Astyanax mexicanus: one gene and its partner. The protein of the gene in region 1 interacts with the protein of each later gene in a pairwise test. Links are inferred from orthologs where the notes say so. Each region holds a gene or a part of one and is shown on either strand. Other genes may lie near its edges. The genes, in order: chn1 and hemk1.

The links.
Region 2: the proteins of chn1 (region 1) and hemk1 interact in binary tests that used the Homo sapiens proteins (3 or more experiments, as listed by UniProt). The two-hybrid records come from large-scale screens. The link is inferred for Astyanax mexicanus from reciprocal best matches to the Homo sapiens genes CHN1 and HEMK1.

Annotation. Positions count from the first base shown.
Region 1 is NC_064418.1:31,644,347-31,652,450, reverse strand, and holds the start of chn1 (N-chimaerin), read left to right. Parts: upstream 1-4,884; 5' UTR 4,885-4,985; intron 4,986-5,359; 5' UTR 5,360-5,412; coding exon 5,413-5,482; intron 5,483-8,104. UniProt on the Homo sapiens protein: GTPase-activating protein for p21-rac and a phorbol ester receptor. Involved in the assembly of neuronal locomotor circuits as a direct effector of EPHA4 in axon guidance.
Region 2 is NC_064412.1:15,821,758-15,828,973, forward strand, and holds the start of hemk1 (MTRF1L release factor glutamine methyltransferase), read left to right. Parts: upstream 1-4,082; 5' UTR 4,083-4,240; coding exon 4,241-4,309; intron 4,310-5,365; coding exon 5,366-5,542; intron 5,543-6,393; coding exon 6,394-6,485; intron 6,486-7,064; coding exon 7,065-7,158; intron 7,159-7,216. UniProt on the Homo sapiens protein: N5-glutamine methyltransferase responsible for the methylation of the glutamine residue in the universally conserved GGQ motif of the mitochondrial translation release factors MTRF1, MTRF1L, MRPL58/ICT1 and MTRFR.

The DNA of each region.
Region 1 (8,104 bases):
GGAGGAGAACATGCCAAGATGCATGAAAAATGATTAAAAACAGAGTTATTCCACCAAATATTGATTTCTGAACTCTTAAAACTTTTTGAACTTGTTTTCTTTGCATTATTTGAGGTCTGAAAAAGCCTTTTGTTATTTCACTTTCTGCTAAACAATGCTCTAAATTACAATATTTTTATTAGAAATTTGGGAAATATTGCCCGTAGTTTATAGAATAAAACAACAATGTTGATTGTACTCAACCATATACCTATAAATAGCAAAATCAGAGAAACTTATTCAGAAACTGAATTAGTCTCTTAATTAGAGTTATTTTTTTATGTATCGTACAGTCGAAAAAGGAAAGAATTACATCCACAATCCCTAAGAGATTTGAACTCTTTGAACTTTCAGATAACTATTTCCAAAGTTTTAGTCCTTAATCAGCTTGCTAGGGCAGTGGTTTGTTCACAAGCATTATTAGGAATGACTGTGATGCAAATTTCAAATTATCAGCCATGGGCTCCTCTCAGCAGCTGCCAAGCTCTATAAAAATAAAATATAGGACAGTGGCTGTACAGGAGAGCAATGTGTTTTTTTCAGTTGCTGTTCATTATATAATTAAGAAATGTCTATTGCGTGGAGGTCAAATTAAGGTTTTGAAGAAAAAAAAACATGTGGTTTAATGCAGTAGAATGGAGGCAAGTATGGATTACACTGAAAAAGTATGGTAAGCTGTTTTAAGAAAAAAAGTTAATCTGTCTAAAAGCAGACCTGTGGCTACTGTAAAAGTTCTGTAATATTCTAATTTAATTTCTGTTAAACCTTAACTATTTGTATTCAGTCTGTAAGGGTTCATATCTATTAACACTGAAAAAAAGCCCCCTGGCTGCAGAAAGTATGAGATCCCCTGGTGTAGTGTATCATTGGTCTGCTCTGTTATTTGAGGACTTTGTGTATCCTGGTGTGTTTGGGTGTGTGTCTGTTCTGGTCTATTGTGTAAAATGAAAACAGTAAAAAGATTCTATTACCGTATATTGGATTACAAACTGAGCCATAACCTTCTCATTAAAGTTGAACAAGATACTATTGTACAGTTAAATGTATACATGCAGTTGTGTGTCCAAGAAATCACATCATATGTATTTAAAGGAAGGCTTTCACTGGCCTCTCGCAGTGTATTGTTAAACAGGGGAAATGAGTGTTCAACAACAAAGTGTTGTAGCGAGACGCACGTCTCCGTGCCCTGAACGCACACTTACTGTTGGGCTGCTATTGTCTTGGCTTCCTGTTAGTGTGGACACTTACTTAAGCTTCTGTCAACGCAGGACTGCCATCTGGAGAAAACAAAACAGAGGGTGGAAGAGCGGGAGATATTCGGGGTTTAATTGAATGGATAATCCAAAATATGAAGATATTTGTTGCTATAATTGAGTATTTGAATGAGTAAATGCATGTGTAGATACTGCAAATACTGACTTATACAGACTTTCTCTTATTATTATTATTATTATGTTGTAGGTCATTGTGTTAAGTAACATGGCACAGTGTGGCACAATGTCATAGGTTGGAATGCGTTGGAAATAATGTGTGAATGTGTGTTATGTAATACAGGACAGAGTTTCGATTGTATTGCCAAGTGTATTAGGTAATGGTACTGTGTGTTATGTAATATGACACAGTGTGTTGGATGAGAATATGGGACATACATAGCTTACCTCACATAGCCTACCTTAAAGGTCTCATTCCATCATTTTTTTATTCATTTTAAAATGTCTAGTGTGAATAAATGCCATGTGAAGAAAGTGCTCCAGTGAAATGTTAGTATAATGCTAACATAACATTATCTCAACATTAGCACAATGTTAGCGTAATGTTAGCGCCGCGTTAGCATAAAGTAACGAGTAATAAATGAGTTTAATGTCCAGCACTGGCTGGTAATGCCGTGCAACAGTGTGATGCAATCAGATTATTGATCATGATTAAAATGTGTGATTATTAACATAATTACATTAAACACTCCTCATCCACTGTGATTTTCTAATATGTTCTAATATGTTAAATGCAGATTTCAAACCGCGCTTCCCTAGTGTATATTTAAGGTCTGGGTAAAATGCAGAATCCACTGGAGATCCAATGTAAACCTATAGTTACTTACACAAGATAGCTAACGTTAACTAGCTGGTTTAAAGAAAGCTATAAGCTCTTTAGCTGACGAGACAATGTCAGCTCTGCTGCACCCCAGCTTCAGCTCTGCCTGTAGTTGAGGCCATGAATACTATTTCCAGGGTTGACGTAGACCCATGTGCTTTTCCTGATCGACTTGTATTCTGATTTTTTTCTTTTACTAGCTACTGCAGACAAAGAAGGTTGAGGAACAGTTTCACATGCAGCATGTATATACAACTCAGAGAGACCTATTTCATTTTACAAAGAACAAGAAAAGGTGGATTTTAGCAGGAGACCTTTAACTATTCTTTTTTTTCTTTGTTCTGCTGACAATACTTTTTCAACTTTAAGGTATTTGTATCACATTCTTGCCTGATATCCCACAATTGCAGAATTTAATTTCTTAAAATGTCTTTTTTTTTTTTAATTACTAGAAGAAAAGTCCAAAAATGTAATGTGTTGGATAATTAGTACTGCAAAACAAAAGATACTCTATCTCATTTCAGAGGGTTTTGATGGAGAACAATTCCAGTGCTCCACAGCCCAGTGCTGGGTGATTTGTTCCCCTTTAGCAACACTTGGCACTGGGCATTGGTCAAAACCTGGCACTGGACCTTAGGCCTGTGTGCAGCTGCTCCAGAGTGTCCCATGCTATTGGCTATGCTTTTCTATAGAGAATATACAAAACGGTGTGTGGACAAATTATGCTTTTGTTTATAATCTAAATTTGCTAATTTAGAAGATTTGTCTGGATTTGCACATGGCAGAAACAGATTCTACTGATAGCTGGTTTCAGATGGTCTAAGCTTGTCTATTCAAGGTGGTTGAAACACTGATCATTAAGATGATGGCATATCTGTATGTTGATAAATCAGCTGCTACCTCTTGACCAGCTTCGCATATGTTTTCCTTTAAGTTTAATAAACTAGCTGTCTGTCAGCATCATCAATTTGACCAAGCTGGGAATACTTGAGGACCAGAGGTCAAGTGGGCCATGCATGCTGGGCACACTGGTCATGCTGATACTGGTTTAATAGGCTAGCTGCTCTGGTGTTAGGTTGTTTAATGACGTATTTAATGGCCAAGGTGGTTGAAAAGCTGGTCATCCAAGTGAAAATATACTTTATGTTGGTTAATCTAGTTGTTTAACCAACTCTTCACCAGTTGTGTGTATTATGCATTCGACTTCGGTCATGCTTAAATCTCGACCAGCATGGTCTTGCTGGTTCACCAGCTTGGTGGTGCTGGTTCACCAGCTTAGTCTTGCTTGATGAAAAGCGTGGTCATGCTAGGCAAACATCATGGTCAAGCTTGGTCATAGTGGTTGTTTAGTGAGCTTGTTCAGGTTGATCATTCTTTTTGTTGACCAGCGAATCCATCAAATTCAGTAATGAATTTATAAACTGATAAGCTGGCCCTACTTTTTTTCATTAGGTTAGTTTGGTCAAGCAGGATGGCAGTGCTGGTAGATCAATTGAAAGACCATCAAACTTAAACTTGCCCTAAGCTACTCGTGAGATAGCAGACTTGTCAGACAGCTTGAGCTGACCATGCTATTTTTAGCAGGTTTGTTTAGTTTAGCCATCAAACTAAGAAATACTGTAGATTTATCAAGAACTACATTCCCAACCAGCTTGAGGGTTTTCTTTACGCAGCCACTAAGGTGACATCATGTAAAAATAAAAAAAAATGCGTGGCCGCAACTTATTAGGTGTGAGAATGAGATCCTAAGGCTGGGCCATGACTTATTAAGGCATTGAAATGAGATCATTAAGTCGTAGCCAGAGAATAATAAAGTTTGCTTTTATGTTAATGAATGCCCATGAAGAAGACTGAATATTAAATCAAACCTCCAACCCAAGGATAATCTTTAGTAAGAAAATGGAGAGTGAACTGGTTTCTTTTTATTTTTATCTTGGAATGAATTATGGCAATATTTTGGAGTCTCTTGCAGTGAGACATGGTATAATAAGAAAAACACACTTAATTTGCATACTAAAAGCTCACAGGCTCAGAGGCAGACAGTATGCAGAATCCAAAAGTATAGGATCTCATTCCCATGCCTTAATTACCTTGTTCCCACGCCTTAATTATCTTGTTCCCATGCCTTAATTATCTCGTTCCCACGTATTAGAATCTCATTCCCACGCCTTTATTATCTTGCTTCTATGCCTTAATTATCTCGTTCCAGTGCCTTAATTATCTTGTTCCCACGCCTTAATTATTCTGTTCCCATAGCTCAATTATCCCATTCCCATGCATTAGGATCTCACTGCCACACCTTAATTATATTGTTTCCATGCATTAGGATCTTATTCCCAATGCCTTAATTATCTTGTTCCTACACATTAATTATCTTGTTCCCATGCATTAGGATATCATTCCCATGCCCTAAGTATCTCGTTCCCATGCATTAGGATTTCATTCCCATGCTGTAATTATCTCGTCCTGTTTCTTAATTATCTTGTTTCCACACATTAGGATCTTGTTCTCATGCTTAAGTATCTCGTCCCATGCATTAGGATCTCTTCCTATGCCTTAAGTATCTTGTTCCCATGTCTTAATTATCTTGTTCCCACGCCTTAATAAATCGTGGCCACACATTCTTTTTGTTTATTTATTTTTGGTTTATTTTTTACATGAGGTCCCTTAGGGGCTCCGTAGTTATCCAACTTTGCCCCATCACCATAGTTAGTTAGTTAGCTAGCATCGTTTCCGTGCGTGCGCGCCGCCGTGTCCATGGTAACGCGCCATGAAGAGGCTGCAGTCCCCGAGGAGAAGCGGAGCTCGCGGTCATGTGCTCTCACAAGATGGCGACTTCAGTGCTGGGATACAGAGTGAGTCCGGGCTGCAGCAGCTTCACATCGCTAGCTAGCTAACCCTGTCTGAAAATAACGCCGTCGAACCGCCGTGCCGTCTGCTGATAGCGCTCTGCTGGGAGCGGCTGGGGCGGTTAGCTAGGTTAGCTAGCTGGCTAATTCTCCGCCGCTGTGAGATCATATGCAGCCTGGCTGAGACTGATGTGGCTGGATCTGCTGAATTCAGTGGGGTTCAAACTTTAGCTTTGTGCAGCCTGGAGATACAGACGGAGGGTCTGAATGAGCCAGCAAACGATTAAACTCAACATTTAGCGAGTTATTTAACTGGCTAGAGAAGAGAGCTCGCGCTGAAATAATCCACATTTTTTATGTGTTCGTTTGTTTCCATTCAGGCAGTTTGCTGATGTGATTTTTCTCCTCCTACATGGACAAGCGCTCATTCTGAATGAGTGAACACAGCGAATACAGCTTTGTCCATCGGAATTACAGCACGAGCATGGCCATCCATGTGTTTGGTAAGTTGCACAATGTTATTTTTTTTATTTATGTTGTTGTGTGTTGATGTTGTGCAGAGCAGTAAAAAGGGAGCATGTTTTGCTGGAGAGACTAGCAGAGAGACAGACCCTCAGGGTGTGTAACTAATGTAGCTTTAGCTTCAAGGGGGAATCAACAATGGAGAGTGTGTCCATGGGGGTGTTTCTGTTGGAGTGTGAATATGCAACCAACAGGTTAGCTAGCCTAGCTAACCTTGCTATCTGTCCTACTCGCTTACACTAGACCATACAAGCTAACTAGTTACTTGTTTTTCTTTCCACCTTAAATAGTACTGTAGTTCCCATTCTGGCTCATGAAAGGTAGCTAACTAGCTAGTTACTGATGCACCATTTAAGGTGGAACCTAGCTAAATTTCACATAATAAGTCGACGTGTGCCGCACACTAACGTTTTTAGATTACTCAGATGAAAAATATGTATTAATACAGCTCTGGAAAAAATAAGAGACCACTTAAAAACGATTAGTTTCTTTGTTTTACCAAATTGAAAATCTGGAATATAATTAAGAGAAAGATGAATGATCACAAGCCATCAAACAAAGCTGAACTGCTTGAATTTTTGCACCAAGAGTGGCATAAAGTTATCCAAAAGCAGTGTGACTGGTAGAGGAAAACATGCCAATATACATGACATCTGTGATTAAAAACCAGGGTTATTACACCAAATATGATTTCTGAACTGAATATAAAAACTTTATGAATATGAACTAGTTTTATTTGCATTATTTGAGGTCTGAAAGCTTGCCATCTTTTTGTTATTTCAACCATTTCTCATTTTCTGTTCTAAATGGCAATTTGAGAGACATGTCCGTAGTTTATAGAATAAAACAACAATGCTGATTTTACTAAAAAATCTACCTATAAATAGCAAAATTAGAGAAACTGATTTAGAAACTGAAGTGGTCTCTTTAATTTTTTTTCCAGAGCTGTATATTGCCAGCTAGTAGACCAGCTAAATTAAAACTGATTGACCAGCATGGCAAAGCATGACAAAAATAAAATGAAACACACTTTTATGTTGGTCAAGATCTGTTTTTTTAGCAAAATAGAAGAGATTTTAATCTGGATGACCACCAGCTCTTAAATTATCCGCTCATAGTGGCAAAATGTTGAGATTACAACTACTACTACAACATTACTATTCTGTATATGTAGCACGTAAATCTAGCACTTAAAACATCTGAAAGATCGGAAGGAAGAAAGTGTGTCTCATTTCATTCTTCCCTTTAGGCACTTCCACTCAGCTTGAGTTGTTTTGTTCATTCAGGTTTTGAAGTGGCAGCAGGGAAAGGGGGGGGGGGACAATTGATGTTCTCAAGCTAGCTGTGGTCACTTCAGATGCTAACAGCTAGCAGAGTAGATATCAGGTATTTCTGTACATATTAGTTACACTTGAGTGGCATTAAGGCTTAGTGTGCTGTTGCTTTAAATCCTAAACTGGATCTGGAATCAAGTAGAGCTTTAGGGTGTGAATGCCTCAGCCACTTGTTGGCAAAATGATTAGTCATGGGGAGGAAGTCTTCTTCCCTGGAGCTCTTATCTGTGGGATGGGGGAGCAGCCATTTTCTATCAATAATTAATGCTGAATCATAGGAGGAGCACATTTGGCAGAAGGGCAGGGAAGCTGCTAGGAGTGGAAGATAAGCTAGTCATGAGCCTAATTTGGCATGCAGCGCCAACATTTCCACAATTGGATTAAGTCCACAGTGTGTTCATTCTTGTAATTCATAGTTTATTACTTGTGGTTGGTTATATGCTTGGTTGTAAGATGAGCAATATCTTGTTGTTTCAGATGTCAAATCATTAAAATAGCTTTGCTTTTGTTGTGAACTTCTGTTTTGTGGGTGATGTCATACACCACATCTTCTGATAAATTAACTAAAATCATTTTTTGCTAAATGTGGCTCAGATATTATTTTTTAAGGCTATGTGAATAAGCCAAATACGATATTTTTTCAAATCAGATCTGAGCCACTTTTATATGTGCTCCTAAATCGAATATGTATCCAATCCATGGACATGTGTCATGAATGTGAACGGTCATGTCTTTTTGCTTCGGTCATGTGCCACGTGCTTCTCTCTCGTACCCACACATATCTTGATACAGCTGCGCGGCTATAGCTGCAAAAACAGCAAAAGCAAGCCACCTTGTCTTTTTTCAGCTCCTCGACCTGACCATGTACTTCAGACGAGTTGTTTGCTCTCAACTCAAGCAAAAGATGCTCCACATATGAGCTGCTAACGTGTCCATTTTCCTTTATAAAGTGACGAGTCGACTCTCAAATATGACGTTTTTTGTTGTTGGTGAAGAAGGTGACGTTTATGCACGTATCAATGTGCGCATGTGAGGCGCTTCAGGGACAGATTTGTTCATTTTACACACAGATACAGATCACTTACATTTGTGAATGTGAACCGTCAAGATAGCTAAATCTGATCTGAGCAAAAATTCAGATTTGATCAATGTGACTTGTAATGTGAACATAGCCTTAGGTCACAGATTGCATTCATCTTGCAGCCTTTTACATATGGTTTGGAATTACTAAAAAGGAAACGTTTTTGTTTTACAGGTGTTGTAAATAAA
Region 2 (7,216 bases), on another chromosome or scaffold:
ACTAGCGCACAGAACCTATTCAGATTATTGCCACATAACACAAGTGTTGTGCTGTAATAAGCTGCACTTTACTGCACTTAACTTCACTTATTTTTCTACTTCCTTATCTTATTCTTCCAGGATCAAAAAATAACCATTGCATCTAATCATTATAATAAGATTGTAATAACACAATAGAAATTGCATTAAATTTCCTTCTAATGTTCAACTTTTCCTTTTTTTTCTTTTTAAGCACTGTACACTGGCATTTCCTTCAGGAAATGCATATCCAGTTATCTATCATTGTCTCCTCAGACTTCACATTTTAGCCTTTCATTGCAAATTAGCTGAATTTCCCTTCTACTCCATCATACACAGCATAATCAGTACTGAGAGAGCGCTGTGTGATCTTGTGAAAGTGTTCCTTCTTCTTGTTGTTTCTTTTCAGCAGTAAATTGCTGGTTTGGAAAATTCTGTGTAGTAGTGTGCTCCTGGCCAGCATACCAGCGCCAGTTCTCTTCGCCTCGAGAGCCTCGGCTAGTTTCTGTGACTGTAATTACAAACACACTGTGAGCTATTAAACGCAGGCAAGCCTCTGGGAGAAATGCATCTCAAATAAACTCTACGCTTCGTACATGCCTGTGTGCTTTTCTTCTTCTGCTTTCTTTTCCTTTCTTCTCTATTTTCCCCTCTCTCTCTCTTCCTTCCTTCCTTTTATGCTTCCTTTTCTACTTTCTCTTCTGCATGGTCTTCTACTTTGCACTTCTTCAGGTCTTTCCAAAACTTTCTTTCTCTTCTTCTAGCTGACTGGTTTCGAGATGTGTTTCAGGGTAAACACAGAACTTATAGGAGGAATCATGGTGACTTTTTCAGAGCCCCAGACTGAACTCTGCAGCCCCTGCAGAACACAACAACAATCAGTACCATCTGGCCTACAGAGCATTTTCTCTCACAGCACATGATCAGCACAGGCCTGCCAGCCAATCTGCTTCTTTTCCTATTTTTCCTTCATAGACACAGTGGAGCAACCAGGCACTATTTTCAGAGATAAAATAAGTGACTTTTTGAAGTAAATGATAGAAATTATAAATATAAAAAAGATAGTTGTGATTAAGATAAGCCTGCATTTAGCCAAATATGTTCAAACAGTGTGTATAATTTGTGGTTTTTGCTGCTTTAAGGTGCCCATGTACAAATTGTACACAAACACCTTGGAGAATTTGCCAATAGCCAATATAATGGGACACTCGAGAACAATCAAACTTAAGCCTAAAGTTGCCATACCCCCTGTGTCTAATGCCAATACAGGGCTGTAGAAGTGTAACTATGCTCTGAATTAGCTGCATTGGGATGAGTTTGTGTGGCATTTGTGAACTAGAACTAATCATCAAAGGGGATATTGTATGCCCCCTATATAAGGTGTCAGGAATCATATGCTTCTTTGAGCCATTTGGAAATGTGCATAGAATCACCCTGGCACCACCTGTCAACCCCCAACCAGAGCCACCATCTATAAATCCGTTGAAGAAGAAATGCCAATTTGATCATTTTGGTTGAGAACCTCAGAAAGTACACAGTAGGATTAGCCAGCAGACTTCATCTGACTGAGGGATCTGTGGCAAGTCAAAGTGGGTCCATGGGGCGTGGCCAGCAACAGCTTATTTACATGAAAGTGACAGAGCCCTTAAACAAACGGCTCATTCTAAAAGGGACTGAAACTGGCAAGTATAGAGCTTGTGACATATTCTTATGTGAGAGTGATTTTGTGTGTTTTATAGCTCATATACATATTTTAACTTGTGTAAAAACAGGTATGCCCGCTTTAAATTCAGTAATAATCTTAATATAATACTATGTAGCTGGTGTCCCAAAACTAAAAAAAAAGGTGCCACCAAAAAAAGTTTACACACTCTAATATTTCATTTGACCACCTTTAGCTTTGATTGCTGCACACATTCACTGTGCCGTTGTTTCAAGAAGCTTCTGCAATGTCACAAAATTTATTTCAACCCAGTGTTGCATTACTTTTTCACCAAGATCTTGCAGCAGCATTGATGATGGTAGAGTCAGACCACTGCGCAAAGTCTTCTCCATCCAGCACATCCCAAAGATTCTCAATGAGGTTAAGGTCTGGACTCTGTGGTGAACAATCCATGTGTGAAAATGATGATCTCATGCTCCCTGAATCACTCTTTCACAATTCCAGCCCCATGAATCCTGGCATTGTCATCTTGGAATATACCTGTGCCAACAGGGAGGAAAAAATCTCTTGGTGGAATAATCTGGTCTATATTCAGTATATTCAGGTAGTCAGCTGACCTCATTCTTTCAGCACATACTGTTGCTAAACCTAGACCTGACCAACTGCAGCATCAACACCACATCATTTACTTACTTAAAAACAGGTGGTGACTTTTTTTTTGGCCAGACAGTGTACTAATAAAACCTTATTAAAAGAAAGGAAGGACAGAATTAGCTAGGTGTCTATAAACTCTTTAGTGCCTTGTTCTTAAAGTTGGACATTTCATTTGTACGTGCATTTAAAAACGAATCTATCTGGTCTTAACTAAACGGGGCTGAAATGTCATGGCATTTAGTTTACCAGTCAGGCTACCAGTTGGTCCTCACTGTTCCGCTCCCCACACCTGCTCTTTTAAGCCTTTTTTAAGTAAAGGGTAACTGTGGCTGATGGGGTCATATGACCTTTTATTAAGCCACATCTTTTCATTTCTCTTGATTTCACTTCAGTTCACACATATTCACACGCGCTAAAGGCTCAGCAGATAACTTTCTACACGCTTGAAAAATGTTGACATTTCTGTGACAAAAGAGATAGAAAAAAAGAGATGTATGATATGGGAAGCCTGCCCCCTAATGTTCAGTATCGCTGTTGCTAATGGCAAGTATGGTACATAGAGAGAAACATAGTGAGAGAATCTCTAATAAAGAGATTACAAACTTGAGAATCTCTTTTGGGTTTGATTGAGTCCATATGAATAAATTAGTTCATATGGAGCAACTGAGCAAAATCATACTGAAAGATGTATTCATTCACAAAACATCAATATAATTTTTAAAGCCTCTAAACTCCACTTACCAGCATCAGCTCACCAACCAATGAGATCACAGTAGCAGTAATACTAGCGCCTTGCTGCCTAAAACCTGTTTACTGTTGGAAATGTGTATATAAGTGTATTTAATATATGAGTATGTTTTCTGAGTATGAGTATGAGCTTTTTTTAAAGCAACAATCATCATTTTAATTTCAAAATTTCAAGGAATATACCGACCATATAGATTACAATTAATTATTTTTTATTTAGGTTTAGCTCAGAGACTGTAAAAAAAGATATACATATGTACAGCTATATACAGTCTATGGTTTAGCTCCATTCACCCCCCATTTATTGGACTCACTCGCGGGCTCCCTCTAGCGGTTGACTGTAAATTTCTGATATAACGGCAGTTCTAATAGATAGGCTTTATAAAAACCGGCTCTGGTTTGGGTTCTACTTGTTTCAAACAAAATGTAATAAAAAATAATTATTTTAATACAGTTCTTTCAATTATAATGACATTTTTGTAAGGCATTTAATGCAGTGGATAAAACCTTCAGTGCATTACAACGCTGTATCAACATAAAAACAAAAGATGATTACAGAAAAAAGCAACTTGCTAAAGAAATTATATAAAAAAAATTTAAGTCATTGAGTAATAAGAAACGGGTATGCTCTTTATAAATCAGCTTTGTTTCAAAGAAATGACTTTCATATCTAACGTTTTTAATTCGAGAAACATTCCAGTACACTGTTGTTTCCAGTATTAAATATATATATATTGTATAATACACTAACTACTTCTAACCTCATTTCCTTCTTCCCCTCCTTCACTCCTCTATCCTATTATTCCCATTTGACCTCCTTTTATCCCTATCCAAAGATGTTTTACCTTTAAACTTATTTTACATTGTACTTGACTATTGTAAGTCACTTTGGACAAAAGCGTCTGCCAAATGTAATGTAATGTAATGTAATTCTGGGGATACTCTTATTTTGACATGCGGCTGTATTTTGCCGTTTCCGCGTGTCACCAAACAGCGTGGAGTACTAGCGTTAAGTGTGTGCTGGTGCTGGTGTGTGTGTGTGTGTGTGTGTGTGTGTGTGCATACCATTAACAGGTTCTAAGTAATAACAGTTATGGTCCAGTTATGTTTGTGTTAAGCGGCTTTTCTTCATGCCGATTCATTTAGACCGGTTGGGAAATGTACTGCAGTATAAAACGCGTTATTCAGCGCCTCAAACCGAGCGGTTTATTCCAGCAGCAGCAGCAGGTTAGTAAACAGCAATTCTAAATCCAGTGCAGTCAAATGAGCTGCTTTATATACTTTTCTATACGTTGCCCTACTATACAGGCCAGGATTTTTTTCAGTTGTGTGCCTGACATTACATTACTATATCTTGAGGATTTTTATTCAAGCATTACATAAACAGCTTTCATGTTTGATAAGGAACATTACGAAAAAGTATCATTAATATTGTAATAGAAAATATATATAAAAAAAAATTAAATAAAACAGCAACTGTAAAAGTATAATAAATAAACTGTACTGAACTTCACTTTAAAATCAATATTTTTCTGAATACAAATCAAACAGTTCATGTCCTCCAAACCTTTAGTTTTGTTATGTTTGTCTAGTTTGTTATGTCTATTTCAAAACCTGCAGAATTTAGGCTAACTCCTGCTAAGTTACTGATCTAGAATTGTTAAATGGAGTAGAGAGTGAACAGGCAGCTTCTCCAAGTGACCTGTAGGAGATTTCAAAGCCATTTCATTTTCAGATTGTAAATAAGTTATTTTACTGCAGAAAAAAGGGTTTTGTATCACCTACACCTGTAGCTTGTATACGGGACAATGCATTTTAAAGGGTTAAAGGCTTTGTTGAGGTTTTATAGCACATCCATGCTGTATTCACTCATCACTGCTTGACAAAATTTAAATTTAAAATGGAAACTTTATAGAGAGGGTAAAAACCTATTCAAATTTAGTAAAGTTTAGTGTAAAACAGACATTTATATAATTTTAATGATCCGTTCATCAGGAAATGTTGAATCAATATTAAGAACAACAGCAGATTTCAAACTATGTTGAAAGTGAAAAAATTCACAAAAAAGAGATTCAGTTTTTTCTTTCTTTTTGCAATACATCAAATAGATGCTTGGATTTTTTAAATATATAGTTCATATTTAATTGACTCTGTACCATGCCTTACCTGCCTTCTTTAACAGATTTATGATTTTGTAACTAAACTGAACAGTGCGAATAAAATAAAAGTTGTAATTGTTATGTTATTATTACAACATCTCTGAAGTGTCTGTTTTTTTTCCAGGCTTTGGTCCGTGTGCCCTGCAGAGCTGTAGGTGGCGCTGTAGGCCCACCTATAGATGGCAGTGTGACAGTAGAGCAGGCAGTCAGTCTGTGGGCTCAACACTTCCAGCAGCAGGACATTTCTGAACCACTTCTGTCCAGCAGTTACATCATAGCTCACATACTTGGGCAGAAAACAGTGAGTTTCTTACCCTGCCTTGTGTCTGTCTGTCTGTCTGTCTATCTGTTTACAGTTTGCCTGACATTCTAAATATTCTAATGATCATTGTTTTATTTTTATGTTTAGTGTTCTGGGGTACAGAGCTAAAATTTACATGCTATGAATACATGCCATGAATACATGCCATTATCTGATGGCCTGATTGTGAGGGGGTTGGATGATCTAATAGCCAAATGATCCAATTATTTGCTATATCTGTTGCTCTCCTGAATATATCAGGGGATCTGCTTTGCACTCTGTCTTTGTTATACTCAAAATAACAGCCACAGAATGTCACACATGGCCCATTATTTACATCACCTTATCCACAAATACTGGTCTGTTTAAATAATTTTACCTCCTGTATTGGACACCATTCTGAAATGAAGCCATGAAGACCGATTTTATTGGTTAAAAGTTTGTTTGTCAGACTGGAACGCTGTCTGAGACAAATAAATCAGTCTGTGTATTTTAAATCACTTTCAGCTTTTCTTCATGAGTCACTTTCCTGTTTTTATTTGTCTTGGTGGCTGCTTGCCTTATAATCGAGTGATTTACTGCTGAGTAATTTGGGTAAATTAGAGTGTTTGCGGGGACAAGAGAAAGTGTTTCATTGTTTTTTCCTTCTATATTTATCCAGTGAAAGGACATTTTTGCTCATACTTCTGTCAACAAACACATCAAACCAGTCCAGCACAATTATTCCAGGGAACTTCTAGGAATCAAATTATGCCTCACCACATGCCCACTGTCATGTTTTCCTAATTGTAAACACATCTCTCTCTCTCTCTCTCGCTCTCTTTCTCTCTCTCTCTCTCTCTCTCACTCAGTTGGAGTGTATAGAGAGGAGTAGGCTCGGGGACAGATTGACTGAACAGCAGAGAGAGATGGTGTGGGAACTGTGTTCAAAACGCCTCACAAGGTACTGGCTCTAAAGTCTGTAGATATTGTGATGTTAACATGCAGTGCAGCAGACCTAGGTTAAGCCACCTGAGGCAGCTGATCAATCTATGTTACACATATTGGTGAGTGTGAGTGAGAGAGAGTAAGAGAGAGACCAACACAAACTGTGCTGTAAAAGATGAGATGAGTTTCTGTGTCTGACTTTATGTCTACAAGGTGGAGCAGTTAGGTAGAAATGTCTAATAGAGTGGAAGACAGTGTGTGAACACAGTGTTTGCAAACTTCAATAATAACTGCTCAATGGTGGTCTAGTGGGGTCCTGACCATTAAATAACAGGGTAAGAGGAGGATAATAAAGTATACGGAGATAAAGAAGAATCACTGTCGGTGATTTTAGCAATATAATGTTCTTCTATGTGCCCAGTGGAGCTGATGAGATGGACAGTAAGTATAGGAACAAGTAGCAATATGGTGACTGGTTACTGTGCTCCCAGTTTTTTATGAACAGTGAGTTAAAATCACTAATAAAAAAAACTGTACAAAACGTATTTAATATGGGACTTTGAGTTGTTTAGAGAGTATGTGTTGTGTGTTTCAGGATGCCAGTTCAGTATGTGATAGAAGAGTGGGATTTTAGGGACCTCACTCTGAAGATGAAACCTCCAGTGTTCATCCCCCGCCCTGAAACAGAGGTCCTACATCACTCACTCTAAGTCTATTCCTCATTCTGCCTCTCTCTCTCTCTCTCTC